Linked DNA regions of Coturnix japonica. The protein of the gene in region 2 binds, or shares a complex with, the protein of the main gene of each other region. Links are inferred from orthologs where the notes say so. Each region holds a gene or a part of one and is shown on either strand. Other genes may lie near its edges.

Region 1 (10,881 bases), on a different chromosome or scaffold from region 2:
ATTTGGTTGCATCCTCTCTCTTGCACATATCTGACTTCTCCAGCACAGCACAACTGCCTGGATCTTGGCTTATTGTGTGTGTTGTGCTTGTGCAGCTTTTGCTGGATGTAGGGAGTCATTTCACGTGAGGACCTCAGTCTGACCACTGAAGATGAACCTTCTGAAACCTCTTTTGTGCTCCGGCTGGTCAATAACAAAGCATACAGCTTTTAAGACAGGACTCAATAGGTTAATATATAGTATAATATGATATAACCCCCTACAATGGGGAGCAGAACTAAGTGCATTCTTAAACATTGTGTTCTCCTATCTTGCTGACATACCTTTCTTGCTGTGTATGGGAACCCAGTGCAGGACACCGTGCTGAGAAGGAGAGGCTGTGTCAGCACCCCTAATGCAAACCAGAGGCACCTGAGCCTTGCAGCTCTTAACAGACCTGGGGTTTATCCAATCCCCCAACTTCAGTTCTGCAATTATTTTGCAGTACAGAGGCAATACATTTGAGGGAAAGAATAATGATGAAAGTGCACTTAGCTTGTGAGTTCAGCCCTTCAGTAAGACCCCACTGATGGTCTTGGTGTTAATTGACAGTGCTGGCACGATCCTGGCTTTGTCAAGTCATTAGGAAAGCAGCGTGTTTTCTTCCAGCTGCTGTGGGTGCAATGTGCATGAAGCTTTAATATTTAAAGTTTAAATTGAAAGGGCAGCTATAGCTTTTCTATCCTATAAATCATGGTTTCAATGGAATGAGTAATTATGCACAGTAGGCAAGCTATCTCAGCTGTTACCATATTTCCTGTTGTACTGAACCGTGTGTTTCTTGGGATGATGTTACAGTGCCATCTGGAGATTCAAAGTCCCTGTGGGAATGCAGTCATTTTTCTCTCCAGCTCATGCTGCTTGCTCTCACTGATTGCACAGGTCGTGTTTAATCACAAGGCAACAGCTGGGTTACCACAGGGCTGCAGGCACTTGGAATAGCACAGGAGGAACGAGGTCCTTCTTGGTCCTGCTGTATTCATAGCAGCCAGGTGTTAGTGGGATTCTGTTAGGGGAATGGCTGCCATCTGCAAGGGACACTTTGCAAAGATTCATTGAGAGAGCAGCAACCCCAAACAATGAAGGGATTGTTGGGAGCACGCTGGCTTTGCTGTAGTGTTGTAGAAGTTGGAGAAGGTCGATCCATACATGTGATGAATGCTGCCAGTGCTTGGTAGAGAGGTTTTGGGAAAGGCTGGGATTGTTTCTGTGCTTGCCAACAATACAAACCAAGTGTTCACTTCTCACGTCAGACACTTGGGAAGAATTCATAGGTTTAATAGCAAAAATGAGGTATTTACATGAAATTTAACCCGCTGCTGTCAAAGGAAAGCTTTGTGTGCATTGGAGTGGGGTGTGCTGTTTCATGCTGCTATGAAATTTCCCTTGCATGAGGAAACCTCTGCTGCCTTCAGTGGAATTTCAACTGGCACAGAGTTTATCTGCTCCTTTTCACAGGAGAGATTTCTTTCGAGTCAGCTGCCTTAAGATGTGCTGTAGCATTAATGAGGCCTCTTGAGCTTTATTCGACTCTTACAAAACAAAATGGTGATCAGTTAAGCACAAATGAATTGCTAGTAACGTATGTGTCTGAAATCAGCCTGTTATGTACAGCTAAACAGGGCGATCAGTGTCAGTACTGCGCTCCTGAAGGTTTGATGCATAATAGGTAGTCCCTGTAGTTATAAACTGTCTTAAAGCATTGTAGTGGTGAGGAAGGGGGGTGCTTTTGGTGTTGCCAGAAGTGCCCCTCCTTGCTCTCCTGTGACTCACATAGGATGAAGTGATTTCTTTGTTCTGCCCTTCCCGTGGCTGGGGAATGCGCGTCAGCAGCAGGTGACGCTGCAGATCAGACATATTTTCTGTTAATAAGCTTTTCTTGATGGCAGAATTTCTTGTCAAGGTCCTTTTGTTCTTAAAAGACAACCTAAAGAACTCATCAATAACTCACTGGCTTGAATCTTCCTCTGACTTTGTGTCATGGATTCAAAGGGATTTTCTCAGGCTTCCTGAGTTTGCTCATCCCAAGTTCAACGTCCTGTAAGCAGCAGTTGACAATGGATTTTGTCACTTGTGCTGGTTGGGTAAAAATATAACTGTGGTTGAACTCAAGTATGCTATATCACAGGATGGATGAGCTTTTAAACAAAGTCATGCAAATGGGGCCTTTGAACAAGATAAGGCTTTGGATCTCTGAGTCTAAATAGGAACAGTGGAGGTTATTCTGTGCAGAGGGATGGGCAGTGGTTCAGGGTGGCTGACTGGGAGATAAAGCTACATCCTGGTGCTGACTTGCCTTGGTTTGTGAGATTTGGGGTTTGCTTTTTAATTAAGCCTCTGGATTGAGGCACACAGCAAAACTAAACCTGGTCCTGAATTTTATTTGGGCTGTCCTGAAGTGATGATCTAGTTTCAAGCCTCATACCAGTGCTTGTGTTTGAGAATTTGTTGGCATGTACTGTTAGCCTCCATGGAGCTGGTGTGGGGGTATCTGGCTACTTGGGGCTAATATAGAGGGATGGGGCAGGGAAGTGTTAGCTGGCAGTGATTTGTGATGTATTAAAGGAGGCCTTTGTGTGACAGAAAACACGAGCTGGCTGTCATCTGTTTAAAAAAAAGGAATTAAACACTGCTGAAAACACCGTTAACAATGTTGATAATGGCGAACCAAATCTGTGAGATGCTTGGAGTGAAATCTGAATTGTTTTAATTTCTTCAGCTGTGCAGCTCAAGCATCCGGAGTGCTGTGGGAGCAGGGGTGTGATCTGTCTAATTGCTCTCTTTGGGCTCATGCAGTTTTGCAAATGAACCTTAACATGAAGCTGGGGTGTGTGTTTTGATTGGATTTTGTTTCTTTTTTTTCCAACAGGAATGTCCTAGCGGGGTGGTTAATGAAGAGACATTCAAACAGATCTATGCACAGTTTTTTCCTCATGGAGGTAAGCTGGATGCTTTGTTAGGTTTATTGAAGCGTTCCTTAACATTCATTGTTGTCACCTGGCTGCAAAGCTGCTTGGATACTCTGTGCTAGGAAAGTGAGGTAAGGGCTGTAGGATCTTGCACAAAAACGCGAGCAAGGAAAGAACATTGATGAAGGCCCTTTGAACAGCTGGGTAACAGGAATAAAGGCAAACCCATGTTAGAGATTGCCAGTAGTCATCAGCCACAGAGCAATGTGCTGCTGTGAGATGGAGTTGCTGCTGGAGCTAATGCTGCATTGGCTCTGGAGATAGGCTCGTGTGCTTCTTTTTGCATTCTTTCTTGCAAGCACTGCCCCACAATCCAGATCATGCTCTGTGCAATAAAAACTTTTGCATTCAGTGGGATGGGGTTGTGGTTTCTGCAAGTCTATGTTAATGTTTGCTGACTCACAGAGTGGCAGTGCATTAAGGATGGCTTTATGCTGAATGAGAAGTTGCTGAGAGCCAGTGGTGTATAAGGAGCTGTTGTACCAATCGATGCCTTTTGTGTTTTCCAGATGCTAGCATGTATGCACATTATCTCTTTAACGCATTTGACACTGCACAGAATGGCTCAGTGAAGTTTGAGGTAACTGTTTTGGGTCCTGTCTTAATGCCCTTTTTCTCGGGTCTGTGTGTTTTAGCTTCCCTATCCATTCTTCATTGTAAACTATGGGATTTGCTGGGCTATGGAGGGCTACGACAAGCTGAAACGTCCAAATCTCATTCTGTTTAACGCAGGCTTCTCATGCAGATGGATTGGATTCCAGTGGAAAACTGGAGAAACAAACAGACCATTAGTCAGTAGCATAGGAGTGTTAATACCACACGGAGAAAGTGTAGAGGTTTATGTAGCAGAAAGCAGAGGGCTCTAAAAGTCCCATGTGAGCAGAGACCAGTGAGTGGCACAGATAAGAAGGACCAGAGAAGCTCACGCTTCCTGCAACTGTCATGCATTGCAGGGTTTCATGTGTATGTTCCTGGAAAATCAAACTGGCCAAATCCTCATTAGTCCAAGGTGTGACAGAGAAATTGTTGATCAAATGTGGGAAGGTTGCTGTATGTAAATGCATCTCTGTAGTGATGGCTGCAGTGGGAGTTCTGCCTGTAGCAGCTCTTCGTGGAGAGCTTTATGAGACTTCCAGAATCCTAAATGGACTGACCCACAGCAAAATGCTTAGACAAGTATATTAAAAAACGCTGAGCTTTCCTTCCTGGCAAATCGGTCTCTTTGGTGGTTATCAAATGTAAGCATTTTGTCCCCTTTTTTGTATTGTTCAGCAGACTTTAATTTCTCTTGAGTGTGGGTAAAAAGGAACAAAGGTCTTTAGGAAGCGGTGCTCTGCCCATGCAGAGCCAGTGGAGATGACACAGGGCAGACCAAGTGTGTTAAATGAGGCACCAGGTAGAATGTAGTTGCTTTAACTTAAAGCTCTGCCTATAATAACAAATACAGCAGTGCTGCTGAACCATTGTGCAGCACAAACAATAAATCAGTGTTATTGGAAGCAATAACTCCGCTGTAAACCGAAAATGCAAACAAAATACCATGTCCCAGATTGAGTTAGTAGAGGTGGGAAACACACCTGGCTAAATGTGTTGTGTTTTGCCAGAGGACAAAACCTGAGCTTCCCTGTGTGGCAGAGGAATCTGGCCATCCCTCTCAAGGTGGGCACAGAGAGGGATGCACAGTAGAGTAATTGAGGACTGTTGGGGTTGTTCCCAGTTACCTCTTACACATTTATTAACACTGCTCGGGTCATCTCAGCGAGTGCTGTGTCCATTGAGTTCAGTCAGAGAGGATACATTCATCCTAGAAAGGGAACTCCCTCAGTGGATGTAGTGAGGGATTTGACTCGGGAAAGGAGACTCAGATTCTCATTTCTCTCTCTGCTTCAAACCAGGATTTTGTGATGGCGTTGTCCATTCTGTTGCGGGGAACAGTTCATGAAAAGCTAAGGTGGACGTTTAACCTGTACGACATAAATAAGGATGGCTACATAAACAAGGAGGTAGGGCTGTTTGTGACAAATGTGGTTGATTTCTATGACAGCTGACTTGTTTCTGTTGCGTAGCACAATTAATGTTGCATAGAGTTCATCAAACATAGAAACTGGACCTGAGTGTTTTTCTGTCTAAAAAAGTGCAAAGTGATTGTATTATAGATGCATTTTCCTATGGTTATGCTGGCTTTAATGGTTGGCTCTTACCTGGGGAAAAATCCTGGTTTAATCTATGAGCAATGCAGTACTTTGAGGGGGAGGGGATGATGACAGCAGGTACTCAGTGACCAAGGCATATAAGGGGCTTCTGGCTGCACTGGGAGGTGTGATGTGGGCTCACCCAGAGCACCACAAGCCCCCCGGATTTATAGGTTAGCATGTATCTGATGATGCATCTGTCTGCATGCATGTGTTCTTGGGGCTGACAGCAGATATGGGTATGAGATCTGTGCTGTTTTGTTAACAGGAGAATGTGAAGAAAAGGGAAGTGAAATAAATGTGCTATCATTTCTATTAATTTCCCTGTTGTGCTTCTCTTGTCATGTCACTACTGCAGGAGATGATGGATATAGTAAAGGCAATCTATGATATGATGGGAAAGTACACGTACCCAGTGCTGAAGGAAGATGCTCCAAGGCAGCACGTAGAAATGTTCTTCCAGGTACTTGATTTCTGATGACTTCCCAACACCTGAGCTATTCACTGATGCACTTTAAGATTAATCCCAGCTGTCTTGCTGTTTCCTACTGTACATCCTAAAACAAATTCTAGTAGCAACCGAGCACTACAGTGCCTGCTGAATTCTTGAGTCTGAGGTATCCTTTCTGACTTAGCCCAAACCTTTGCAATGGCATGTATCACAGTCATTTGGTGCTTCTCCTATCAACTGTCCATAAAGACAGACAGCAATAATATGGTAAGGCAGTGAAGAAATAAATCATGTAATATGAGCAGAGGTTGCTGCATGTGTATAAGAAAGGTACAAGTGGAGATGACCAAAGTTCTCCAAATACAAGAGTGAACCAGTCTTTAGCTGCCAGCAAATTTAACCAGTGATACTAAGTCTGTAATGTAGGTCACATGCCCTAGGTTTATTCAAGTTACAGCACATAAGATGTTGTACAAGAACCACCGTGTTATCTATGGGAACTAAATGCTTGTTTTTATTTTGCAGAAAATGGATAAAAACAAAGATGGTGTTGTAACTTTAGATGAGTTTATCGAATCGTGTCAGGAGGTAAGGATGAAATGCTAAGCTCAACAAAAGGTGCAGGACATGCCACGAGGCCATCATTCCTAAGAAGATGGAGGAATGATGCTGTAGATCTCTGAAGTTGCTCAATTTGGAACATAATTTTGGTGTTGCAGTTATTCTGAGTGTTGGAATAACTGAGTTTATAGGGAAACATGTCATTGTTTCTTTGAAGTAATAACCAGAATAATTCTAAGTACACTTTCAGTGCTTCTTGAGAAACAATCTGGTCTTTCCCTTATACGTCTCCAACTCTCTCATTTGGACCAGGGGCCTGAGAGAGGCTGGGATTTCATGCATTCTTGTTTTGAACCCGAGGTGTTTCTGTGAGGATGTGGTCCTTCATGGCAGCATGTTTGTCCATTCAAAGCTGTCATTTCATTTGGGCTTTAGAGGCAGATGGAGCTAAATACACACCTTCATATTCAGGATCAGTGCAGAGCAATGGGTGCCTATGTCTGAGGGCGCAGCTTCAGTGCTGGTTCAGCTTTTCTTCAATGAAGCACAACCCATGCTGCAAGCCAAGCTTAGGAGAAAGTTCTGTGCTTGCATGCCTCAAAGCAGTCAAGGTGCTGAAGTAAAAGCACTGCTTTTCTGAATCAGGACCTAACTGCTGAATCCATTTAAGCTCACTGAAATGGAAAGCAAGGCTGTTGACTGCAGAGCCCCCTTCTGTGCCCTGCCAGGTTAGGAGTTGTGTTCCTCAGTGCTCCTTTCATGAACATGTCTTCTCGTTGCTTTCAGGATGACAATATCATGCGGTCCTTACAGCTCTTTGAGAACGTAATGTAACCATGCCTGGAAAGCACAGGAAGAGTCAGAGACTGCGTGTGTAACAAAGACCTCCTTTCTGGGTGAAAGCCTTTTACAATTCAGCCATGTTCTATTCAGCCAGCGTGTGAGGATTTTGTATGACATCTCCAACCAAATGGCAACTGAATGCAACTGATCCCATCTCTCCTCCTCGAGAGACAGCGGTGGACCTCTATTTTGTTTTGGAAGCATGCAAATACTTTAATAAAACCTGACGAGAGAGCTGCTGCTCGAAGCTCAATGAGTAATATACAGCATTCTGTTTGCAAGCCACAAGTCCTGCTTTAGTCTAGCAAGCTTGATTGCGTATGATAGCTCATGTTGATAGCATATTCAGCCACCTATTACAAGCAAAAAGCTCGGTCCGTACAACCATATGGCTGAATGTTTTCTGGATGCCTTGCCTTTAATCTGCTTTGAGAAAAAAAGAAAAAAAAGAATCTACAAGGGCCATCTGTAAAAATGAACAGTGAATGTACCCAGGACGTTAAGCAGGCAGCCCATGTAGCCAGCATCCCCATTTCTGCAGAGATCTCGCTTCTCACATGCACTGGTGCCACCACGCTGAGGCTGGTGGAGCTATTCCTGAGCGCATGAACTAGAGGAACTTCATGCCAGGGTTAGTCAGAAAGGAGCAAAGCATGAGTAGCACTTACATTTCAAACTGTAGAGCAAATCTGATTTCTGATGGTAAGTTGTTGCAGGACCAGGTAGGTTTATAAGGGCTGGCAGAGAAAGATGCATACCTGCTCTGGTTGCAGCCACCTTCTGCAGTCCCAGTGTGTTGTGGGACACTTAGCAGTTCTCCATTGTGCACCTCAGCAGCACCATGGCCGTATGTGATGATCCTTTTGCTGTAGTTTGGCACCTGCTTTCTAGATGCATCACTTGAACATTTGTATTTCTCCATTAGATGTTAAAGCAAAGTGTTTTCTACTCTGTGGATTTATTTAAGCTTTCTAGATTTACTTGTGACAGAAAAGGGCCGGGTGGTGCAGCTGCGTTCCCACATAAGGGCCCTGGCACCCACAGAGTACCAAATAAGATTAATGGCACCTACATGGTTGCTGTTAGTATCAGGAATGTCTGCCAGGGTAGCTCAACGTTTTCTAGAGCAAAATCTGTATCCCACAGGGCAGTTTCATGACTCGTACAAGTCCTGATCTTTACTAACACCCCAAAAAGCTTTGCTGTGGGGAATTGTTGATTTGTTTCTTTCAAGAGTGAAGCAGGAAGAGTCATGTAACGAATTTATACCAAGGTTGGATTATGTCCAGTAGATGTGTCTGATGAGGAACACGTCAGCCTGTTTTGCAGAGGACTCTTAAGGAAAATGGTTGTTCCCAAGCAGATGATGGTTGAGAAACCAAGGGAAGGAGGGAGCAGCCACCTGTGCCAGCTGCACAAACCACACACAAAGGAGAATCCCCTGTTGTAGTCCAGCATCTTTCCTGTCCAGTAAGCATATATTTTTATTATGTCAGATATTATATTGCAAATACACTGTTGGCACTGAAGATATATTTTAAATATTATGTAAGTGGAAGCTTTTTATAACACTAAAGATATAGTAAGCCTAGTTTCTGCAGCCCTATGTTTTATATTTAAAAAAGAATAATAATAATCTATTGAAATATTCCTGGTTGTAGAAGTAGGTCTGATCGGTACTAGAGTAATGCTGTGTGTATTCCTTAAGATGGGACATGATCCCTTTTACTGTGCTTCTGCACACTCTTCCATGTGTTCTTTGCTTTCTTCCCCCAAGTTGACCGCTTGTCATCAAAACAGCTGGTCAGCTGAGGGGAGTTACTTGTATGCAGGAATAACACTTTAGTCTGTCCTTTTGGCTGCCTTGCACACAGTTACCACAAATTAATTCCTTCTAGCAGAAGCAGAGCAGCTCCAGTGATGTGCTGGGATTCACAGAAGGGGATGCAGTGCCATGAGAGTAGCCTTGTCTTCCAGCTGTCCAGTATTGTCTCTTTGGTTTTTGTTTAATATAGGCACTTGATAAGGACATCAGCTGTAGCTGGAATAATGCCCCAAACTTATGTCGTTCCTTCATGATTCTTCTTGTAACCACTTGGGCAAATAACAGCATTCAGTGTAACAAGCAACCTGCTTTTTTCTCCTCCATCCCTGCAGAGCATTTGTCTGTTGTCAGTCTGAGCAGGTAACTTCACTGGACCAAAAAGAAAAGGGAAAGGAACCATTTGTGCTGAGTTATTCAGTGTCTTTCACCTCTAACACTGATGCTCCAAATGTGCTCACAAGATGGCATATGTAGCCTGAATATTTCTCAGAACTGGAATGTGCCTTTTTCATTAGAACAGAAACGTTATTAGCCATGTGATACTTGCAGTCCCTGGAGCTAAGGTAATATTTTGGGCCACTCTGATGAATTTGGCCTCAGTTGTGTTTTCAGCCTCCTCTAACAGAAGTGTTGTGTCCCATGGACCAGGACTGCTCTGGTTCAAGTACAGCCTGACTGAGCAACGTACCTGAAACATCTGCATGTTACTCTCAATGTATCTTTAAGTGCATTGCTGAAGCCAGGCTACTATTAGTGCCCTTATGCTTTTGGTATCTCCTCTTCTGCGCTGCTGTAGGTTTTTTTCAGTTCCCAGTAATGCATTAGGAAGAGAGGGAGATGCTGGAAGCTGCTCTGGTCCTGACTCTGCCCCTAAGCCATAATCAGAGCTCAGAGATGAGATGGATGCAGCACTGCTGGAGACGCTCAAGGTCAGGCTGGATGGGGCTCTGAGCACCCGATTTAGTGCAGGTGTCCCTGTTCAGTGCAGGGAGTTGGACCAGATGTCCTTAAAGGGTTCCTTCCAACTCAGACAATTCTGTGATTGTAAGTCTGTTGCTGCAATAGGAGGATTTGCCACGTGACGCACAACAGCAGTATTTCCTGTAGCTCTGATCGTAAATTCTGGCTGTGACAGAGCAGTTGCCTTTGTGAAACCATTTAATCTCCTGTGTTTGTCTACGAATCCCACTGATAGCAGCCAGAGGCTTGTGTGCATCAGTGCCCGAGGGCCTCAGGGCTTTCCATGAGCAGCATCTACGCGTGTGGCAGGTGACTGAGATCCAGTGACTGTGAGAGAGTCGTACTCTGCATGGAAATGTCTTTGGGTTTGCCTTTTATGTTCTCGGTGAACGTTAGTTTGTAAGCTTGCAAAGCCTCTCATCGCTCATAAATGAGGCTTGCAATATTTATGGCAAATACTTACCGCTACGGCTTTCTAAATAAAACATAGTATACTGTTCTGATCTCATCTCGCCATCAATCCTCCTGCCAGTTATGTGAAGGTGGCTGCTGCGCCGCCTGCTAAGGTACAGTCAGACTCCGCCAGTGCTCTCAGCTGTGCACATTTCCTTGAAGCTGTGGATGTTTCAGTAATGTCTTGCATTGTAAGTCTGACTGTTTCACTACTTGCGAGCATTAATCTGCATTTTCATGCCAGCGTTTTCTGAAAAGAGCCTTTCTAACATGTGCTTTAGGCAACCATCTGTTGAAAGATAGGAATATGATGAATGATGATGCAAAAAAAAAAATGCAAACAATGTAATCTGTCTGTTGTTGTCAATGTATGTTTTCCTGTTACGCATTGCAATACTGTCAGTAACTGTATGTTGAGTTGCAAACCTGAGGGTGCGGATGTTTGAAGGTTCCGGCGCCGCGGGCAGGACTTTGGCATTGCCTGGCTGCAGCACACGGTAAGAGCAGAGCACCTTCATGTCTGTGTGTGATCACTGCTAAGATGGCAGCAGCTCGTTGCTCGTGGGTGTGCCATGAAAGACTTGTGGC
Region 2 (10,881 bases):
GCTGACACATGCTTTAGATTAGTCTATTTTCAAGCAAATCTTTTCTTTCCATATCACCTGAAATGGGTATTCTTCAGTATCAGTCAATTCCACGCACATTTATGTTTGAGTGAAGGAAAAGAAGAAACAGAAATGATGATAAGCCTATGAAGGTGTTTCCATTTTTATCAACAGTTGGCTGCAGCTGATACACTATTTATTTTGCTCACATATTTTATATTTGCACTGTACCACAATTCTCCTGGGAAACGTGAGCATCTTTCTAATTAGTGAGTCCTTCTTTGAGGGGAAGATAGTTTTTTCTCTTTCCAATAGATAAACATGCAGCAGGCTAACAAACCTGACGTGAATGACACTGGGAAGAGTGTGAAACAGAGCATAGCCCCTAAACATTGCCAGGATATGTAGATAATTCCATTGATAACTTCAAAGAGGTTAGAAAAAAGGAGGCTTTCCGTAAGTGCATGTGAATGTGTCTTAATCTCAGTTTAGTTTGGGCTGCTGCTTTGAATACATATAAATATGTGTATATTCTTTCTTTATTTAGTCTCTTCCTATTATCAGCACCACTGCTTCACTGTTTCAAAATGTGGAAATCACAGCTTAATGTGAAGCAATCCCCACTCACTTACCAAGTCAACGTAAATTGCCGTTTGCTTGAATCTAGATTCAGTTCTAGGACAACCCTATGAAATTACTGAATTTTTGTCTGTGCTGGGATTAAGCAAGGATCGCAAGGACAAAGACCTTATTTAATGAAACACTCCATCTTCAGAACTGATTTTGATATTTAGATCTGCAGTAATGAGGAGCATACTGAATGGTTTTATATAACTGTTTCACTATCTCCTGCAAACAAAGGGTATATTTATTTGATTCTTTTTCTATTACATACATGCATACCTTGAAACAGTGCTTCAAATCCTGCTTTCTAATGTGTAATCCAAAACTGACGTATTATGAAGTCATCTGAGAAATATTTATCAATTTTACTCTAGTTTTGTTCAGCAAATCCTATTTCTCAATGGCATTTAGGGCATTTACATAAGCACCACTTTTATATTTACAAATAAACATAATCCCCCATTTTCTGGCACTCCTCAGATAACAGACATTCATAGCGCAGCCTACGATATGGTTTTACAAAAGAACTTGGGTTATTTTTTCATAGCTAAGTACCTTGAGAGTTTTGTTCCAGTGTTTACATTCGTACTGGTATTCAGCCCAGGCTACTATGGGCTAAACACTGTAATCAAAACTAAGCTGTCTAACTTTACTGATTTATTCAGTGGTACCGATTTAAGCCTTTAAGTAAGCATACTTAATATGTCCATTTTAATTAACTTTCTGTGTGTGCTTTGTCCCTTTGCTGGGTTCCTTTGTGCTAGAATCATGAGTTTGTGGATGAACAGCTTTATGAAGAGAGCTGCATGGAGGTTTCTACAGTCAATCGACCCCCGAGCCACAGCCCCTCTCTTTCATCCCAACAAGGCGTCACTGGCACTTGCTGCTCACGAAGACATAAAAAGACGTACCGCATCCCCAACACTGCCCTCACGGGCAGCCGCCACGGCAGCGTACAGGAGCTCAGTACCATCCAGATCAGATGTGTAGAGAGGACACCTCTGTCTAACAGGTACTTCTTAGCATCAGCGCACAAGGAGCTGAAACCTATTTGTTTACTAGGAATACGCTTTGGCCTCCACAAATAGCCTGGGAGGCTGCAGATAAAACTGAAATTGTCATCTAGAATGGACAGTAGTCCTGAAATAGCCCACACTCTGCTTTCTCCTAATGTAATTCTAAGGTAAAAGAATAGTCAGTCTCTTCTCATTTCTGCCCTCTTATGTCCTCCCCATAAACCGTTGTGTGCTCTTTGCAGAGAATAGCATCCAGGGACTCCAAATGATATAAAATACCAAACAGTACAGCTCACAGGCAAACACAGAAGAAGAAAAAGCACAGAAAAATGTGCAGTTCTCATACACAAGACAAGCAAATGGGGAATAAACGAAAAATATGCTGTTTATTTAGTTCAGAAACGTAGCACAAATTACACTTCCAAATAAGGGAGAGAAAAGGGAAATAAAAGTAGATTGCCAGAGTCGTAAGCGCTGTAGTAATAAGAAGGTCTCTACCAAACAGAAAGTATGAAATGGGTAAGAAAAATGTATTTTGAGTAGTTATTACAAAAGTGAGGAATGTACAGTTTAAGTTTGCAATTTATTGAAAATCTCTGTACTCTCACAAATATACTGTTTGACTTTTAGGTGTATCTGAGCACCATCTCTTGAGAACATAACAAAGGCATCAGAGGGCTCAGAAATGTTGAACTCAGATGTGCTGCCATTTAAAAAAGATGTGTTCTCATCATGAGTTACTAGAAAGATTCACTTTTTAAGTGACATTTTGAGTAGCTTGCTTTAAATAGTTATTAGGTTTGGATTTCAATTCTATGAATAATTCAGCAGCTTGTAGCTAATGGAGTTTTTCAGCTCTTGGTCACCACAGAGCTCCAATCTATCTTGGATTGCCTGGACCCATCCTTTCTCTGCTGGCAGACTTTCTTGCACCGCACATCCCATCACAGAATAACTAACACAGTGAGAGGAAAAAAAAAAAAAAAAAGAAAAGAAAAAGAAAAAAAAAAACTAAATAACAACAAAGTTTGAACTGCCAGTCTCACCTTTTGTGAGTTAGCTTTAAGTTTCTTATTATGCTGAGTTTCACTAACTCAAACAATTTGTGTTCGTATCACTGCATCTTACTACTGACGGTATGTAATGTACAAAGGCTCTTACATAAAGATGACATCGGGGATTCAGTAGGGTACGGGGAATTTCACTTAGTTTCTGCTTCCCTGCAATGTGAGGCATTTGTCGATGCTGTTTGCTCTCCAGTGAGCAGCCCAAATGCTCAGAAACACTTAGGTGATGAGCTGAGAAACTTTTAGAAGCGTAGAAGGTGGGAAAAAAGGGGGGAAAGGCCATAGCCCTGGGCCGCCTGCTCCTGGGGTAGGTGTTGGTAGGGGCCCAGTGCCACTATGTCCCTCTGAACTCCATAACAAGGCAGGGCAGAGAGGATTGCACTGAGCACACATCAGGTGTGCAGGAATATGGACTTGCTTTCTTCATGAGTTCTTGTTTCTTCCTCCAGCCGATCCAGCTTAAATGCCAAAGTGGAAGAGTGCGTTAAACTAAACTGTGAGCAGCCTTACGTCACTACAGCAATAATTAGCATCCCAACACCTCCCGTCACCACGCCTGAAGGAGATGATAGGCCAGAGTCTCCCGAGTATTCAGGAGGAAACATTGTCAGAGTATCCGCTTTATAAAATAAGGAATTATTTATAAATTAGAATAAAGACCACTTATAAGCTGAGTTCTGCAGAGAGAAACGAGTCCTGAGGAATGAGAGAGCTGACAAAGACAACACCCCCTGATGTGTGTGCCAGCAGCAACGGAGTGAGACATTCAGGAGAACCACAACAATTTGTGGCTGTCAGTGTCACAGCGTGGAAAACAATGGAGTTTCTACATAGTGTTGGAACTGACACACAGTGGAAGTTTCTGTGACCATCCTGACTTACTGTAGAGCACAATGAAATGTCCCCATTGATGCTTCTTCTTATCATGAGAGCTCTTTTTAGAAAGAAAAAAAAAAAGAGAGAAAAAAAATGAAAAAAAAAAGAAAAAGTACACATAAAACAAAAAAAAAAAAGAAACCTGTGTTCCTGCTGAATGCAAAACAAGAAACATTTTGATAACTTGTCTTTTTTTCCTCCTGTTAATAAACCACAAACTTGTTGAGAAACTATTAAAAAAATAAATAAATAAAAGAAAAAATGCTCATAATGAAATATGTTTGTACTGACTGAAAGAAATACAACCATAATGCATGCTGAAATTATTTGGAGCTGTGATCTCAGTTTACTTTTGTTGTTTTTCAGATTAGGCATGATAAAATATTACTGTAGAAAGGGGCATTTCTGTGCACTTACAACAAGCTGATTGTTAATGTTCCATGGTAGTTGTACAAATAACTTCCCTTTGAAAAATGCAGTGTTTCTTATTCAAACACTCATTAGTGTACTAAAGGTGTTCAGTTAGTTCAATATTTACTATTGTTTTATCTTGCTTCCTAGGTACTGTTACAACTGCAATAAGTCATTGTACACCTGTTGTATCAGGAATCAGGATTTGTTTTTCTTTAAGGTATTTTACACAACTTCATCTACACTATAAATGTCTAATGGCAAATATCTACATAATCTTACAGCCAAACCGTGCACCACAAATGTGCTATTCAGTCACTGTTCTTTTTGTCCTCTGTCCTCTGTTTCTATCACAGTTCATTGTCTGCTCCAACATTACCATGCTGTTTGGGATTTCAAGGCTGCTAATGAACAGGCGTAGTCCTTAGTTCTGCAGACATCTTGTCTCATTCTGTATTTTCAGAACAAACCTCTTGTCCAAGTGTAGTGTTGCAGGATCACTCCTATTTAAATTGAGATTGGAACAAAGGCAGTTTGGAGATCAACTAACATTGTTCTCTAAGCCTTCCCTATGGATGTTCTGCAGCATACAGAGTGTTGGCTGCAGTGGAAGATGCTGAAAGACATTCAGTAAAAACAATGGAAAAATTATTCTTGCAGTTATCTACTAACTTGAATCCTAAAATTAGTTTGAGGATTTATATTGTGTTAAGGTATGTAATTCTCTAAGAACACTGATAAATAATGGTTTGGGTCTCAAAGCTATAAAAATGTGACTGATTTCTATTGGAATTTTCCAGTGGGCTGATCTAACAGGTACTATGAAGGCTCTCTTAGTTAAGGTTTTTTGGCTTCATTTTTAGAAGACACTGGTGTTAGCAGAAACCTTTCTGATACAAAAAGGACACTTTTCTTCATGAGAGTGCATTAGATGATGTATCATAATGCTTCATAGGAATGTACACAAACTACCATACATCCTATACATCAAATATACATGGAATATTTGCATATCAGTGCGTACATATATACATCAAGAACACTGGATCAGAAATAATTGCATGTCTGCAAAATAAAATATGCATATAAATCAAAAGACTCGGTACATTAGAGGCCATTACAATAAATGATTAACACAGTTATTTAATAGTTTGAGTAGTATATATTTCAATATAGTATTTGTTAGCATTCTACTGACCTTAAATTTTACATTAGGAGATGACACCCACTAAAAACTGAAACTTGCTGATAGGACACTTTTTACTGCACACACATAATTCTCTGTACCTGTCAACAGAGACTGAAGAGTAGATGATGGACTATCATGCTACAGTATATACACCAAAATGTAACAACTTCACCTATTAGAATTGAATTGCAATCAAAAGGAGCATATAATGTAATACATTATGCTTTTTTTCCTACTGTTTGCTTATTCAGATGCTTGGTTAATTTGCAGTTATCAACTCACTTTTTGTTCCAATCAGAAAAATTTACTGTAAACCGAGCTTCTAAATTTCTTTCAGATTGTAACAGATAGCAGAAGCACAGATTGTCCTCTGACAGAAGAACACTCACTTTGAGTCATTCTGATGTCAGCTATGCTGTGTTGCATGCCTGTCTTTTACCCTGTTAGAAAACTGTGGTATATCTGCTGAAGCTGGTGGGATACCTAAGTTTAAAGGGGTTAACATGAGAGCTAGAACAGACCTTGAGCTTATGCTTACATCCTCCATCTACCCACGGTCACTCATAAAAAACTGGCTTGGCCCCCACCTTGTGCTAAAAGAACTATTGACATAAAACTGCCTTTACACTAGCATATCTGCAACAGCAGCTTAACGCCATATGGTACTTCTTGAGTAGGAACATAGTTAAATAATGTTAAAAGGCAGTTACCAAACCCAGTTTGGGACAGATTACATACAACCCAAGAAACCTATTGACTCCATCAGTTCACGTGTCTCTTAAAAGCTCTTTATTCTCCTTTTTGCATGGACTAAAAGAATTGCACTAGAGCAATACACTTGCATAACAGTTAGTTACATCCCAAAACCAACCTGTACCTTCATTCTTAAATTGCAGTTTAGGGAATAATTTAGTATGATTTTGCAGAATTCTAGTCTTGTCTCATATCTCCACATGCCACATGCGAGATCATTGCGTTATTTTGAATTTGGAAAATACACATTCTTTTGGTGTTTTAGGTGATTTAAATGCTGTTTTGGTAGTGAATGACTGTTGATGACTGTGTAAAATGCATCTGTACTGTACATGAAATGTAATTATTTCTGTGTATCATACAAAGAAACCGAAGCTGTTGTTTTTGACAATTTTGTTTGACAGTCATATATCGTATTTCAGAAGGCAGCATAATACATGTGTTATGCTGAATAAATAGACATTTGAGGAGTACTTAAATAAAACATCTGCATGCTTGAATGGGTCAACCTAGTTTTGCAATAACTTATTCATGGAACTTGTTTTTCTTTTTCTTTTCCTAACATGATTCAAAGAGCACTGAATCTGGGGGCAAGGACCCCCAATACTAGTTCCATGCAAGCACATCTGAGCTCATCTAAACCATAAGAGTCACCAAGACCACTCGGCCAGAGCTGCACCACGGAGCTGCCCATGTTTCCCTTCCACACTCCCTTTGCTAACAGAGCTGCTAAAGGAACCCTTTGCTATTTCATGCCCAGCCTGCAGCAGCAGCAGAGAAAACTGGGGCACTGAATTCTTTTCAGTAATATGAAATCTACCACTCTGTCTTTACTTCTTAGAAAATGAACATATCCAGTCACTGTCTGGATGCATATCCTAGGTGACAAAATCACCTCAAGACTGATATCAAATTCCCTTGATAAAATGTTAGTGCACATGCACATGTGTGAACAAAGTCCTTTTGTAGCGTGGAAGCAGCTAAAAACACACTGCAAATCATTTTGCAGAGGGCAACTGACATTGCAGGTGATGCCATACACCATAGCAATAAGAAGGATAACAGCCAACTTTATCAGGAGCTGAGCCAACCCAGGACATTTTTAACAAGAACGATGGCCTTCCCATAGAATGTCTACAGAGGATAAAGATTTTTGAGGGCTTAAATATACTCACTGTAGAAACACAGTCACTGCTAAATTCCTTTGCAGTGAGAGCTGAACTTGCTGTATGGGAAAGGGTGACATTCAAGGAGGAAATTGGTCTGGAGGAGGATAGACTAGTAAAGTGACAGGATAATAAAGGTTTGGACAGGGAGGGTACTCAGGAAGTAATGTGCTCACTTGCCTGTATCTGGGGCCCACAACAGTTTCATTTTGCCATTGACCATGGAAATATCCGAGGACGTTCAGGTACTCTGGAAAAGCAATTAGCAGTAACTATACAGCAAAAATGATACTGGATATGTAAATGGAGAGCCAGAACAGCGGTCAGGAGTGAACAACAGCCACATTTGGAACTGTAAGATATACCTAATTACCTAGTGTTTTTGATTTCTCACTTGCCCGTATTATGTATCAATTTACTATTCAAGTACTCATTTTCTTGGTATCAAGGCACAAGGAGCAAAGAAAAGGAGGGAGTAATGAATAAATGCAAATAGATGAATAAAAATTTTGATGTATTTAGGATATCCTGAGCTTTTAAAGAAATGTAGTAGATTATACCTGGATTTTGCAGTTTTAGATGCAATCTCATTTCACGTGAATTAAACACAATGCTTTAGTGGTAAAAGCTTTAAAAACTATTTTTAAAATCCCTCCTTGAATCATAATTTAACTGTGTAGTCACTGTCACCAACAGTGTCTCTTTTTACTATTCACTCCTTATAATTTTCCCCTAGATTTACAGAGTACTATTACAAAATCCACGGTTACAAAGAGAAAACAGTTACGTTTCCTCCATAAAGCCTTGTTATACGCTCTGTTGGCAGACACAGCAAGATCTTGTCCAAAGACCAGGAACAGCAAATTTTGCCTCCTAAGAAGTATCCCCATTCTCTCGGATTGTTCAGTATGAAGAAGAGGCAACTGTAAGAATGTTGTGGCAATTCTGCCACGTAACTAGCAATAGAAGACTAGAGGGAATGGCTTCAAGTTGCACCAGGAGAGATTCAAGCTGGACACTTGGAAAAAAATTTCCTCCAAAAGAGTGGTCAGGCACTGGAACAGGCTGCCCAGAGATGGTCCCCATCCTTGGAGGCATTAAAGAAATGTTTAGATGTTTTACAGAGGGACTTGTTTTAGTGTACAAATGTAGCTGGTAGGTGAACAGTTGGACTGGATGATATTGGAGGTCTTTTCCAACCTGGGTGACTCTATGATTTTATGATTCCTCAACCACAACACTGAGGGGCAAAAATGCACAAAATCCCAATCCAACAAACTGCAATCCACCACACAGTTTGTGGTTTGACTTTCTGTCTTTTGGCTGATGTGATTTTGTTCATTTTGGTTTTGAGGAGGAATGAAAACCAAGCAGCACTGGCCCAACCCACTGAGTGACTGCAGGTCACCCTATCTTGGACATGTCTTTTTTTTTCCTACATGGAATCTTGTCTGTAGCTCCAGAAATGCCACCCTGGCTAACTGGAAGGGGAGGGGGACACAGAAATCTTCTGGACATGTGCATTAATTTTGGGCATATGAATTTCTGAAAGGTGCATAAAGGTGTATTTCTTGGAAAGTCATTTTAAGCAAAAAAAAAAAAAAAAATGGGAAGCTCTATCCTTTATCTTTTTTCTAATCTCCCAAAATAAATATTAGCATCTCTGTAGGGGAGGTACAAAAGCAATAGGTAATCTTGCTTGCAACAGTACCTGTGAAGTAATTACACCCACAGGTAGACTGCTGAAAAACAAACATCCCACACAATTGAAGAGTTTAATTTCACCATCCATTGGAAGCTTTCGTAGACACAATAAAAAAGCAACTAAAATTCACAGTTGAGTTTCTTCATGACAGAATAAGTGGAATGGGTAAAGACGCATCAAATTAAATCACATTAGCAGGAAAACCTTCCCAAATGTCACCAAAGCATTCACGCACTGTCTTCATAATAAAAAACCCACTATGGAATTTAAGACAATAGTGATTTTATTGTCTATCAAATCACACCTTGATTTTCTTTTCTTTTACAAATTTCAAAAACAAAGCAAGTATTTCTAAAATGTAGCATGTAAAAACCCATTTGCCACAAACTACTGTAGTCAGTGGAACAAGTATATATTTCTGGAGCGTGGCCGAATGTAAAAATAATCCTATGAAATAAACATTGTTCATAAAAATACAGTAAAATGCACTTTCCCCACCTCAATAAATACATTTTAATGCTGTTTCCAGTTGGCATTTTAAGCTGCTAGAGATCTCTTAATGAAGTACAAGCCAAAGTATAATTTCTCCTTATGAACTTTTACAATTACTTCAATAGCATCCGGAATTGAATGACTACAAGCATTCCCCTTGTAGTCTTTTGTTTCTCTTTCCATGGGAATCACAGACAGAATAAAAGATTTATTTATAAAAATGTGCTACTCTATATTGATCCCCATTTTGGAAAGAATGCTTAGGTTTGTTCTTTTCTTTTTACTAAGAAGCAGTCCACAGAACAAACTGTTTGAAATGAGAATTCTCTAGTACTCAGAAAATTAAAGTCTATTGTCCAGAATCATATTTTTGCTTTTAATCCCTCTTTAATACATTTAAACTTAAAAATTAGTCACATAGTTACATAAAAATATAAGTTTTAGATCATCTTTAACAATAATAACTAAGATAGAGGTTTTGTTAGAAAAAGAAAATCTTGTCCTTTTTACAGATTTTGCAATTTTTTTTTAAATCCAAGTATTTACTTGAATTATAGTTCTGTCATCCATGCACACACAAAAACACACAATTCTATATACACAGATCCCTGATTATTTTAACATATTTTCCAAATGGCTTATTAAAAATGCACAAGTCAATTTCAGTAAAGTCACATTTTGTTTGTCCAACGCACAGTCATCTCAGAAGACAAGTATCTTGATGCTTCCTTAGAGGTTCTGTCCATCTACGTGTGAATGCATCAGTATTTTACACATCTTGTAACAATAAGTTACTGTTACTGTGCCCTGTGAATGAATGCCTTAAAAACAAACAAACAAGAAAACAAAACTAATTCTGTTTCATGGCTCTTTTAAGAGGCTGAAAGGCAGACAGTTGCTTATTTGTCTTACTACAGAGGCCTCTTTATCAATCATTAACTGGTATTGGAAGCACAGGAAAACTGGTCGATTTTGCATACTTAATAGAACAGAATAAAAAATTTAAAACAAACAAACAAACAAAAAACACAATTAAAACCCTGGTAACTTTTTAGATTAATTGTATCACCTACAATTCTTCCATTTCGAAGTGTGTATTAAAGCTGTTTGCTGTAGATGTATGTTCAAAGATTCCTGTTAAGCTTGGTTTCAGTAGCTCCACAGAATGGCATGACAGTTGCTGTGAGGTATCGTTCTTCAGGGACATTATTTGATCTGCCCCAGGATCTCTTCTGTCATAGTAGAGAGCCCACAGTAAAGTAATAGTGAGGATCATAGCCAAAATCTGTGTTACTCCAATAGAGATTCCAAGAAATCTCAGTACTTGTAATTGCTTCGTCCCCCTCAGAAATGTGTACATTTTTTTACCGCATCCCTATGAAACAAAAATAGACAGAAAGTGATTAGTCAATATTATCTGACTTGCAGTTCCCAAAGCTTAACTCAAGTTGGACTCAAGTTCAAATCCTAGCTCTGCACAACAGCACCCAAAATCCAATCCCTATGTCTGTGAGCACTGACCAAATGCTTCTTGAACTCTGGAAGTTTGGGACCACGACCCTGTGATCACTGCCCTGGGCAG

Evidence for each region. The genes of interacting proteins can lie anywhere in the genome.
Region 1: the proteins of KCND2 (region 2) and KCNIP1 are in contact, whole or in part, in a cryo-EM structure (PDB 7E8E), measured with the Homo sapiens proteins. The link is inferred for Coturnix japonica from reciprocal best matches to the Homo sapiens genes KCND2 and KCNIP1. Residues at the interface, in NP_036413.1 of Homo sapiens: Ala2, Val5, Ala7, Trp8, Pro10, Phe11, Ala12, Arg13, Ala14, Ala15, Ala16, Ile17, Gly18, Trp19, Met20, Pro21, Val22, Ala23, Ser24, Gly25, Met27, Ala29, Pro30, Gln33, Arg35, Lys36, Arg37, Thr38, Gln39, Asp40; in NP_001030009.1 of Homo sapiens: Thr60, Arg62, Glu63, Val66, Leu67, Arg69, Gly70, Phe71, Asn73, Glu74, Phe85, Ile88, Tyr89, Gln91, Phe92, Tyr101, Leu105, Phe109, Phe122, Leu126, Leu129, Leu130, Lys137, Thr141, Leu144, Tyr145, Val162, Ile165, His185, Phe189.

What each region holds. Positions count from the first base shown.
Region 1 is NC_029528.1:13,394,460-13,405,340, forward strand, and holds the end of KCNIP1 (Kv channel-interacting protein 1), read left to right. Parts: intron 1-2,908; coding exon 2,909-2,978; intron 2,979-3,517; coding exon 3,518-3,588; intron 3,589-4,903; coding exon 4,904-5,011; intron 5,012-5,558; coding exon 5,559-5,663; intron 5,664-6,176; coding exon 6,177-6,239; intron 6,240-6,998; coding exon 6,999-7,046; 3' UTR 7,047-7,308; downstream 7,309-10,881. UniProt on the Homo sapiens protein: Regulatory subunit of Kv4/D (Shal)-type voltage-gated rapidly inactivating A-type potassium channels. Regulates channel density, inactivation kinetics and rate of recovery from inactivation in a calcium-dependent and isoform-specific manner.
Region 2 is NC_029516.1:21,134,550-21,145,430, reverse strand, and holds the end of KCND2 (potassium voltage-gated channel subfamily D member 2), read left to right. Parts: intron 1-1,388; coding exon 1,389-1,636; intron 1,637-3,156; coding exon 3,157-3,334; 3' UTR 3,335-6,444; downstream 6,445-10,881. Other genes in the region: TSPAN12 (tetraspanin-12), read right to left, coding at 10,369-10,674. UniProt on the Homo sapiens protein: Voltage-gated potassium channel that mediates transmembrane potassium transport in excitable membranes, primarily in the brain. Mediates the major part of the dendritic A-type current I(SA) in brain neurons.